2 linked regions of the Caenorhabditis elegans genome follow. Changing the gene in region 1 together with any one later gene gives a genetic interaction. Each region holds a gene or a part of one and is shown on either strand. Other genes may lie near its edges. The genes, in order: atm-1 and lig-4.

The links.
Region 2: changes in atm-1 (region 1) and lig-4 impair growth when combined (synthetic growth defect), as found in Caenorhabditis elegans (one study listed by BioGRID).

Annotation. Positions count from the first base shown.
Region 1 is NC_003279.8:181,228-186,408, forward strand, and holds the start of atm-1 (Serine/threonine-protein kinase ATM), read left to right. Parts: upstream 1-2,136; 5' UTR 2,137-2,148; coding exon 2,149-2,229; intron 2,230-2,279; coding exon 2,280-2,402; intron 2,403-2,497; coding exon 2,498-2,982; intron 2,983-4,107; exon of another isoform or gene 4,108-4,182; intron 4,183-5,181. Other genes in the region: F56C11.5 (MARVEL domain-containing protein), read left to right, coding at 24-287, 436-540, 587-739; F56C11.3 (Sulfhydryl oxidase), read right to left, coding at 912-1,118, 1,167-1,273, 1,318-1,389, 1,445-1,544. UniProt on the Caenorhabditis elegans protein: Serine/threonine protein kinase which activates checkpoint signaling in the presence of DNA double strand breaks (DSBs) and other forms of DNA damage induced by ionizing radiation and other genotoxic stresses such as UV.
Region 2 is NC_003281.10:7,519,333-7,525,397, forward strand, and holds lig-4 (DNA ligase IV), read left to right. Parts: upstream 1-2,130; 5' UTR 2,131-2,137; coding exon 2,138-2,258; intron 2,259-2,310; coding exon 2,311-2,610; intron 2,611-2,657; coding exon 2,658-2,971; intron 2,972-3,020; coding exon 3,021-3,143; intron 3,144-3,405; coding exon 3,406-3,619; intron 3,620-3,664; coding exon 3,665-3,815; intron 3,816-3,865; coding exon 3,866-3,961; intron 3,962-4,010; coding exon 4,011-4,462; intron 4,463-4,512; coding exon 4,513-4,623; intron 4,624-4,670; coding exon 4,671-4,817; intron 4,818-4,937; exon of another isoform or gene 4,938-5,023; intron 5,024-5,183; coding exon 5,184-5,380; 3' UTR 5,381-5,538; downstream 5,539-6,065. Other genes in the region: akap-17A (RRM domain-containing protein), read right to left, coding at 24-108, 151-266, 445-570, 617-775, 830-1,192, 1,243-1,365; C07H6.2 (E3 ubiquitin-protein ligase PPP1R11), read left to right, coding at 1,677-2,000.

The sequences.
Region 1 (5,181 bases):
AAACTGAAAATCAATTATTTCAGCTCTCAAATGGCAGTTGGGGCAATTCGGAGCACTCGACCGTCTTCACAATCGCCGCCTTGCTCTTTCTGCTCGTCATTTTTCTGCTTTTCGTCGCGATTTTCTACCAAATCGGAAATCTTCTCATCCCGCACATCGTCATGCAGATTCTGCTCGTTTTGTGCTTCCTGGGACTCACATGTGCGACGCTTTATGCGCTTTTCCACGGTGCCACGTTTCAGTTGCTCGTCGTGGTTACAAATCCGCAAATCGCCGCTGATTCCATGGTAAGTGTGGTAAAAAATGAAATTTGTTTCCTTGGGAAATTCCTTCTTTTTCCTCAATTTTTCCTCATTTTTTTGCTTCCAAAAAAAAGACCCATTTTGCGAAAAAAATTTTTTTTTTTCATTAATATATGTATTTTAAATTTTCCAGACAATTCTCCCGGCGCCAATGATCACAACAAACGTGGTTTCCGGATTCCTAGTGGGCCTTCTCGTCATTTTCGCAGTCTCCTACTTGCTCATCGCTGTGCTGAATGTGAGCTTTTCCCATGGCGAGACCCATGTAACTTTAATTTTTGCAGACCTGGTGCATGTACGTCGTCATCGATAGTTACCAGCTTTTGAAGAGCCAGAAACTTCAATCTCGTACTCCGTCGGTCGAGGAGTATTGTGCGCCGAAGACGATTCAACTCTCACTATACCCCAATCAAATCGTTCAGGCCACCGATTTTTAGTCTATATTTTAGACCATTTGTTGAATTTTTCTCGAAAAAATCCGGTAAATTTTTGTGTATATATGTCCCGAAATTCTTCACTTTTATCACATGTGTCAGGCTTTAATTTTTTCATACTTTATTTTCGAATTCTGTACAAAAATCTTTGATATATTCTATTTATTCTTCTCAATTAATAATCACACGATCCATCTTTCCACCCGTCTCGCCACCTTTGCATCACATCTCGACACTCGAACTTTGGTTTTCCGGTTTTTTCGTTGACTTTATTGTGTAGCTGGCACATCCATAGCGCAAACGCCTCGCGGCTTTCCACTTTTGGCGGCGATTCTTTCAGATCTTTTCGGAGATCTTTGGCGCAGAAATCGCAGGGATATGTCTGAAAAATTTAGGCGTTTTTGTGGGAATCTTGAGCTTATTAGCTAACTTTTCCTAGAATAGACATGAAACTTCTGGCTCGATCCTTATCCTCGTCGGTAGGCTTTTCCGGGTAGTAAACCGACATTGTGTGTAGCAAATTCCACGTGGATCTGCCTGAAATTTGAAATTTTTGGTGGAAATTTGAATTAAAAGCGAACCGAGCTCATCCTTGTCTACTGGACATCCGTGCAACTTCGCTCCTGTGCTCGTGCTCGGCGTCGTCTCGGATTCTGCAAAGAACTAAAATAATTGAGATTTTTTGCTCTGGAAATCTAGGGAAATCACCTTTTTTCTTTATTTTTTCAGCCATTTCTCTGCCTTTTTTCATCATATCCTCTACACTGACGCATGCACGACACGGCTTTCCATCTGGACCGATTTCCATTCTGAAATTAATTTTTAAACTTGGTTTTCGTTTCGTCAGTTTTAGAAGCCGTTTTAGGGCGTAAACTTATGAAACTATACATAGTCTACGACAAATCTATAGAAATGCATTAAAAATAGGTCAAAAATGTGAGAAATTGCGCAAAAAATGATGCAAAAACGAAAAAAAATTAACTAAAAACAAGAAATGCAAGTGCGCTCCACTGACACGCGTTAGAGAGCGTAGACGCAGAGAAATCTCGAGATGAGGGAAATCGTGGCGCGCGGGAATCAAGCTTTTTTGAATTGTCTTGATTTTTAAAGCCCAAAAAATAGATTTTTGGCGGATTTTTGGTGGATTTTCTTGCTTTGCAATGTAAAAATTAATTATTTGTTGCATCTAATCACTTTTAACAGAGATTTACAATTTTTTTAGTGGTCTGAACCTGGGAAAATCCTTCAAAAATCAATTTTCCCTACAAAAATTCGTTATTTACCGCATTTTCCGCCCAGCTGATCAAAAATTCTTCTATTTTCTCAATTTATTGATAACACTCGCCCACCTCAAGCATTTTATCACCTGAAACTCGTCACACTTTACAATTTGTTTGCAGAAATATGCGAAAATGAGCGTTACTCAGCTAAAAAATCTGAAACACGCGATAGCTCAGCTTCTGGAGTGGGATGGAACGAAAACGGCGAGAAAGGCAAGTTTTTGGTGGAATTTATCGAAAAAACCTGATTTGTTTTTTTGCAGAAAATCGTCGACGAGGTGGTTCTTCTCTATCACGCTCTGGGAGCGGAGGCATTAAGTGAGGATAACCAGGAGATATATGATTTGTATGATTTATCTGCACGTATATTCAACTTAGCTAAGAAAGTTAGTTTTTTTTTTGTTAAAAAGTCGTAAACAACAAGTAAATTTAAAAATAAGCATTAAAAAATATTGAGGCTTATGAGAGCAAAAAATTCCAGGAAATCGAAGAAGCCAACCAACAATTCGAAAAAGAACGAAAAAAGGGCACAAGACGAAGCGAAAAACCAGTCCCAACTCCACTTTTCGAGCTATCAATACAACATTTAAAACGTTGCTGTCAGCAGGGAATCGATCACAATCAGGTGCCATGGATAGCATATTGTCTGAAACTACTGGAATTTCCAATCACAATCACCGAAAAATCGATCGAAAACGAGATTTCCAACGTGCTCCTATTGAGCTCCAACGCCTCACAGCTCCATTGGGCCGAGCATGCTCATTTGAGCAGCTTATGGAAATGGATTTGGAGCCGTGTCGAGACCGCCGATATTGGGGCACTCGCCATGAGAAATTATATGGAATTGGCGGCGAACTTGCTGGAAAACGTGGATTACGTGGTTTTCGAGAAGTCGCCTATTGACCTGATGGCGAAAGTGATGGGAACACTGAAGAAAAGTGTGGAAATGGGAAATCCCAAAGAATAGTGCGTGGAAAACGAGTTCTTGAAATAATGTTCAAAAAATTCAAATTGGCTTGGACTTAGGCTTAAGCTTAAGCTTAGATTTAGGCTTAGGCATAGGCTTACAAGGGAAGTATTTCAACTTATTCCCGGACTTCAGAATGAAACCTATGTCATTTCGAAGAAGACTCTTTAAGTAGGTCCCTACAAAAAATTTAGCGGCAGAGGAGCACTTTGACCTGGAAAAAAGTCGCTCTGAAAACTTTTCAGTGCATTTTTTCACGGCTTTCAAGGCCCGTAAAATGGCTCCAAATGCGAATTTTTGTAGATTTTTGAAGATTTCTAGGATGCTCAGGGGCCGGAGAGCACTCGGAATTTTTTTTGGAATTTTTTAAAATTTTCGAAAAAATCTGAAATTTTTTGAATAAGTCCATGGCAAAATTTTTCAGTGAATATATATATATATTTTTTTTAAATTTCAGAAAAGTTGTCAGTTATTTAAGATCAAAATTGGGTGTTTTTACACAATGAAAATTTTTTTGAGATTTTTCGGAACTGCAAAAACCAATTTTGGAAAAAAATCGGCACCCGGAGTCGAACCCCAGTCTTAAAAAATATTAATCAAACTCGCTAACCACTCGGTCATTCAACGACAATTTTTCTTGTAAATGAAATGGATGACAAAAAAACGTGACTCTTTGATATCTACTTAAATATATAGGGACGTGAGAAATAGCTTTGGAAAAGGAGAGGACGCAGAGAAAAATTTTCAGAGCGACTTTTTTCCAGTTCAAAGTGCTCCTCTGCCGCTAAATTTTTTTGTAGGGGCCTACTTAAAGGGTCTTCTTCGAAATGACATAGGTTTCATTCAGAAATCCGGGATTAAGTTGAAATACTTCCCTTGTTAGGCTCACTAGGGAATGACCAGAATAAATGGAGCGATATTCAAAAAAAATATATTGTATCGGAAAGCTGGCATTCTCTACTATAAGAATATGACTGAAATTTTTGCCCGTTCGGGCTGGAAATCTGAAATTTTTACGTCTGAAATTCTACACTGAAATCAGTGCATTTCCTATGGTTAACAGTGGATTTTTGTCTCTGGCGCCAACAGAAGTCTCACCACAATGGTGGAAGGGCGAAAACATCGGTTCGGTGGTCGAGTGGTGAACGCGTTCGCCTCTTGAGCAGAAGTTTGTGGGTTCGGTTCCCATACATGGTTTAACTTTTGGCCTTTTTTATACAAAATTTTCAGAACGGGAAACAAGTATTTAGAACATTTTTTTGAGGGTTTTACATAATTTTTTTGCTTTTTAATTGAACCATAATTACCCTGGAAACTTTTCAGAAATTTTAATTTTTTTCGAAAATTGTCACTTTTTTCTCCACCAAACCCATGAGAAAATTTGATCGAAAAATTTTTTTTTGAAATTTTTTTAAAAATGCATGAAATATTTTAGAGTGTCACAAATAACCTATTTTTCATTATTTTCAATGACCGAATCATTGATTCTGATGCCTTATCAAGACGTTTTACCAAATCGATATTGGCAAAACATCTTGTTTTTGAGGCTCCATATCTCTGCAGGAAAAAATCGCACTAAAAAGTGATCAACTAGAAACTTGTTAAACACAATGTGATCTAAAACATTTCAGTTGAACACTTTTTTGTAAAAAATTTCGTTGCCGAGTTGGAACCAATTGATTTGAGCTTCATTATTTTTGAATATTCTAAATAGTTAAAGATCTATATCTTGGCAACGAAATTTTTTACAAAAAAGTGTTCAACTGAAAAGTTTCAGATTACATTGTGTTTAACAAGTTTTCAGTTAATCACTTTTTAGTGCGATTTTTTCCTGCAGAGATATGGAGCCTCAAAAACAAGATGTTTTGCCAATATCGATTTGGTAAAACTTTATTTTAATTTTTTTTTTTCATATTATTGTTTTTATATTGGGTCAAAACGTATTTGCTCTGCTAAATAGTTAGCTGGCGCTAATTTTTAATTTTATTATTTTCGTATTTTGATAAATTTCACTGAAATTGTCACTTTAATAGTTTACATTCTATTGGTTTTCTTTTATTCAATGTCTTTTGATATCGGAAACGTGATGTTTGCCTTGCATCGTCATTTTCCCAATCCCCTCCCATCAAATCCCTCGATTTCGAGACATGAGCAGAAGGTGGCAGATCATTTGGCAAGCATTATAAAGGAATCTTATT
Region 2 (6,065 bases), on another chromosome or scaffold:
TTTTTGAAACGTTTCAAGTGAACCTTTTCGCGGCGTTTCCGTTCTCTATCTTCTCGTCTTCTATCTTTATCATCGAGTTCTTGTTTAACTTTCAGTTCTTCTTGACGTCTGAAGAGGTGAGTTATTTTTAAAATTGTAGCATCAACAAACTTGATATTCAACTCCTCTTCTTCTTGCCGCAGTCGTTCCGTTTCAATTTGACGTCGTTCTTCCGCTCGCTTTGCAATTTGAACTTCGCTGAGATGACGTGATCGATCGAAATCCACCTATGAAATTTTAAGCTATTTCTCAACCTTAATTCTGGGAAATTAACTAACCTGTAGAGTGGCACGAGGTGATTCGTTTCAGCGAAGAATATGCAATTTTTAAAATTGATATTGAACGTTTAGAAATAATGTGATAGATTTTTCAAAATTGCAAACTAACTCTACTACCCTACTATACCTTGACATTAGCCTGAAAGAACCGTCCATCAATTCGTTTTGCCCATTTACGATTTCTCAGGGAATCCATGGCAGTGGCGAAACCTTTATACTCCATAAATTGCACATATGCTTCAAAAAATACATCCTAAAAATTCAATTCGTTTGATTTTACAAATAAAACACTGCGATACCTGCCCTAATCCGAAACCTTTTTGCTGAATACCAGAGATTTTTGAATTCATTCGAGATCGGAGTGGGTCACAAATTGGAATGTCGACAACTCTAACAGATCCGAACGCTTCCATTGCAACGCGAAGACGTCGTTCAGAAGGAAGATCATTGTAACCATCCTAAAAATGTGTTTGGTGAAATAAATTCGAATGCAATGTTATGGAGCAACGTACGCAGAACCATTTCACTGGAATTCTTGCCAAATAAACTGTATCAGGACGTTCTCCGGGTTTCATCTCGTCCATCTTATGTTTCATAAACCAATCATCCCAATCATGACGACTTGGAAAATCAAGCTTTGCCTCTTTTGTTTTAACTTTCAAGGGCTCAGCAAATCCAGACACTTTCATAGAGAATCCATCGAGAATCTTCATCGTTTTCTGCATGATTCCTAGCGAAAGAAGTTCCGCTTCAAAAATAACACTGTCGATATTGCTCTCACGAACTTTGCAAGAATCCATTTGAATTGGATCAATTGCACGTTTTAGTCTTTCCATGAGATCCCAATTAGATATTGATTGTCCCGGGATCGTCATCTACAATTAAATAATAAATCGATGTAATTATGATAGTTAAAAAAACGTACCCGAGGCAGCACTACGGTAATTTTTATAACAGCCATCGGTTTCAGATACAAGTGTTGCGCCTTGTTAAAATCTTCAGCTTCTGATCCCAGGTAATCGAGAGCAGTGGGAAAATTTCGCGCCATGTTGACAAAAGGTTTAATTTTTTTGATTAAAATTTGCACTAAAATAGAAGAAACATCGATATAAATTGAAGTTCGATCGAATATTCGATGAAAAATTGTTCTTCGAATAAGTTGTCCGAGAGGAGTTCACCACATGGGGACGAGGAATGAATTTGGATTCTAGGCCATGCAGTCTTTTGAAGTCCACTCGGACAAAATATTATGAAACATTTTTGTTGCTGTTTACTTGATTTCACGAGAATTTGTCAGGCTTATTTTTTGTTCCACTATTTTTCGTTCAATTAAAAAAAAATATTGTTAAATTACAGAACATGAGCCACACTCAACAACAAACTGCTTCAAGCACTGAAACCTCTACTGTCACCGTTCCTCCATCTCGAGAACAGAACTTGGTGCTTCATCTTAGTCCAAATCCAGCTCAGCCATCAACTTCAGAACGGCGACACGTAGTTTGGGCCACCGAAACAGTGGATAACGAAGGAATGGGCAAGAAGAAGAGCAAATGCTGTTGTATCTACAAGAAGCCCAAAAATTGGCAAGACTCAAGCTCGGATTCTGATTCGGATTGTGAAACCGGTCATTGTCGTGGCCACGTCGAGCACAAAAAGAACGAAGAGCCGAAGAGCTCTAATTGAGCATATTTCATAATCGATTTTTCCCATTTTACCCCTCATTGTCCGTCTCTTTCCCAAATTTGTGCATACTTTTGTTTATTTATTTTCGTTCGTTATTCCGAATAGATGTTCAATAAAATTATTTTTGAAGAATCTTCATGGCGTCAGATGTGATCTTCGACGAAGTAGTTGACGTCTTCAACAAGATTCGGCGGACTTCAAATGTGAAATCAAAGCAAGCAACCTTTCAGAAAAACTTTGAATCATGGAAAGAAAAGTGTAAGACAATTGGGCGAACTATTACAATGTGACGTTATTCTTTTAAATTCAGGTTCTGATCCATCTGATATGTTTGTCATAATACGGTTCTTCGTTTCGGATTACGAGAGGTTCAGAAAGTTCGACATGGGACCGACTAAGTTGGCAAGCTTTATGGCAAAAACTTTTCACGACGTCAGGGCTGATTACGTATCAACTATCTCGAAAGATGCATCAACAGCAGCTCGTCAGTTGGCTGAAAAGATTTCTGAAGAATATAGAACTGAAAATGATGAATCTACAGTAGTCACGGTTTCCGAGTTGAACGAAATTCTTGATTTCTTAGCGGCGGGACCAATGGATGATGGGAACAGTCAGTTATTGGCTTACACCTTTTCCTATTCAAAAAAAAGTTTTCAGAACGAGATAAGATGTCGAAACTCGTTAAGAGATGCTCTGAAGACGAGTTGGAATGGATTTTCAACGTAATTCTTAAGAACGTTGAATCAGCTCTTGGAGCCCCAAGTAACAGGATTCTCGACTGGATATCGCCTTCTGCTTGTGCTATTTGGGATCAGACACATGATTTGAAAGCAGTTCTAAAAGGAAAATTGGTAGAAAACAAAGGAACCAACGAATTAGGAGAAACAAATGATGATGACGATGAGCATCTTTTTAAAATATGGACACCCATGTTACTTCAGAAGCAGAAAAGAGGTGACTGGTATGCAAATGTGAGTTTTGGAATTCAGTTCATAATTCAAGTACAATTTATTGTTACAGATTGAAAAGTTTGGAGGTCAGAAATTCTTTCTGCAAACAAAATTCGATGGAGAGAATGTGCTGCTTCATAAGAAAGGAAACGAATATCGATGGTTTACAAGAAATAACAATGATTTTTCGAAGGTTTGTTTTTGATTAATAACTTATTACGTATTTGTGGTATTACCCGGACGCGAAGTTTTGCGGCCAAATACGATACCGGGTCTCGACACGACTTTTCTGTAAAATGTAGGAAGGTGTGTGCCTTTAACAATGTACTGTGATCCACATCTAAATAATATGTTTAAAAATTCAGAAATAAAAATAATATTTAAAAAAAGTCGGCTCAAAATATAAACTTAGAAATTTTTTATTCGAAAAATTGTATCCAGTTTGGGATTTTCAGGAATACGGTGATTCGTCAATGGCAATCGGAAAGCTCTCCAGTCGTATACATTCATTTTTCAATAAAGAATGTGAATCGGCAATTTTCAACTGCGAACTCATGTTATGGGATAAGAAAACGAAAAAACTTTGCCGTCACAACGATGCTTCAACCACATCAGATGCTCAAGTTTTATCATTCCGACATGTCAAACCTGACGATAATCAACAATTAAGTGAGTTGAAATGAATTAAATTTATGCAAAAACTTCACATTTCAGCCGTCGTCTTGTTTGATTTACTGTACTTAAATGGAAAACCGTTTTTTGGAGCACCACTTCATCAGAGACTCGAGATGCTCAAGATTGCTCCACTGAAAAAAGAACGAGAAGATACAATTTTTGTGGCGAAACATGAGGAGGGGAGTAAAAAGTTTGTCGAAAGCATTCATAATTTTTGGGTCTTCATCAACTTTTTTTCAGAGAGGACATTCAACAATTCTTTGAAATAGCAATGGCAAATAATGAAGAAGGAATCGTTGTGAAGAGAACAGATAGTGTTTACGTGAAAGGACAAAGGTAAAGCTGGAAATAATATTCTAGTTCAAAGTCTATTCTTTATTTTCAGAAGCGCTTCTAATGGATGGTTCAAGCTGAAACCGTCTGCATCAAAGGACTGTGATCTAGATCTGGCACTAGTTGCTGTACATCCAGGAGCTGGAAGGAATGGAAAAACGCTCTACAGATTTGCGGCTTTTGATGAGAAAACTCAAGATTACAAGCTATGCCTCTCATGCTCTTATGGACTTTCTGACACTGTTCGCGAGGCGATTCGTTTTGAGTATGGGCAACTCCTAGAAGAAGCTCCTGAAGAGCTCACATTTTATGGAAAACGACCGAAAAATATTGCCAGAGGAGATGGTGGATACATTGATTTCGAGCGCTGGCAAGTGATTAAAATCACATCGAACGGTGTTCGCAACGGAAAATTGGTTGATCCTGTTATGAGAGAGTGGAGACTTGATAAGCCTGTTGAACAGGTCAACACTTGGGAAGAATTTTCAGACTATGCAACGGCACGTGTCAAGTTTTAAACGGAAGCGAAGAATTATTATTTGTATTTCAGAAAGTTCAAGAATGTAAATTGGGTGATAACGTGGACAGTGATGAAGAAGATTCTGAAGATAAGAAACCAGATACTTTGAAAGTGGAACGAATTACCCGCAAAGCTATTCATCAATGTAGACATTCAGAAAATTTAATTTTGATTTATTCTTTTAATTTACAGCAGCTCCTGTTCGTCTGAAACGTGCCAAATTAGAGTCAAGTTTGACTGGAATTGAAGTCGCCGTTCTTCAGGGAACATCTGAAACAATTCGACGAAAGTGTGAAGAGATCTTGAAACATTTTGATGCAACTGTAGTGAAAGGAATAAGTGAGTGATTTAGTTTTCAAGTTGAAGTCGTTTTCAACGAGTCATCATACCCCGCACAACAAACTCAAAATTCCATTAGTCACCATTGTGCTCATATCCTTCTACTTATACACAAGCTAGAGACAGTGATAAATAGTACAAGTGTTGAGTCGGCTCAGAGCGGCCAGCTGGTCTGTGTTAGTGGTGTTACTCATCAATTGAAGTGGGCCAAAAGACAAGAAAGATAATCCTGAAACCCTCGAGCGGACAACGTTTAATCTGATTGATTTACAGTTGCGCATATTTTTTGTGTGAATTAATTATGAAATATAATCTTCTAAAAATTAGACTTTTTATCCGATCTTCAATATGAACTTCTTTTTTCAGCTCCATCCACCAAATTATGTATTGCTACTGCTCCAAAATCCACACACCCTAAAACAGCTCAAGCCATCGCTTCGAACTCTTGTACTGTTCTGAAACCCGCCTGGCTCGAACGTTGCAATAAAGATGATCTGATTCAGGCTTGGTTGCCTTCTGATGTGTTTCATGCCATCGAAGGTGGATTCGAGATTCAGGAATAATTTACTAATTTCGATTATATGTGATATCGCTCTTTATTTCCTTTTTGATAGATCTACTTCATGCAGTTTTATTGTTCTCCGCATTCCTGTGAATATGATATTGATCTATGAATAATCTTTTACCAATTTGTCATCTTATATAACAAAATATAACACATCAGTGATTTGTCCAAGAATTGTTTATTATTAGACCGTAAATCATTATTCCTCCGTGGATTGACAGTGTCTCTTGAAAATTGAGATTTTATCAGGATAACTCGTAAGTCCCTTTTTCTCGCCAGATCCCTGAAATTCTTTGGAGACATCTCTGCATCATCATGCGACAACATTCACAAAAATACCAAACAGCAGTAGTGGCATCAGCTACGAAAGAAGAAGAAGAGGAACCGAAGACACCGATCAATTTTCGACAAGAGACACACAACTGACACTCAACTACCACCAGGGGGTGGGCACGGATTACGGTAGTTTTGCATGGCATGAACAATGTTTAGAAAGGAAATTCGAAACATAAATTTAAGGAAAATTAAGAACTGTTCATATTGTCAGTGTTCATTTTTTGATTCCTGCTTTCTACTATCCATACGTTTCAGATTCTTCCGTAAAATAGTTGTATAAACTATTCCAATTGATCTTAGAAACATTTCGCGTATTGAATTTATTTCAGCTTTTTCGTTCAGCTTTT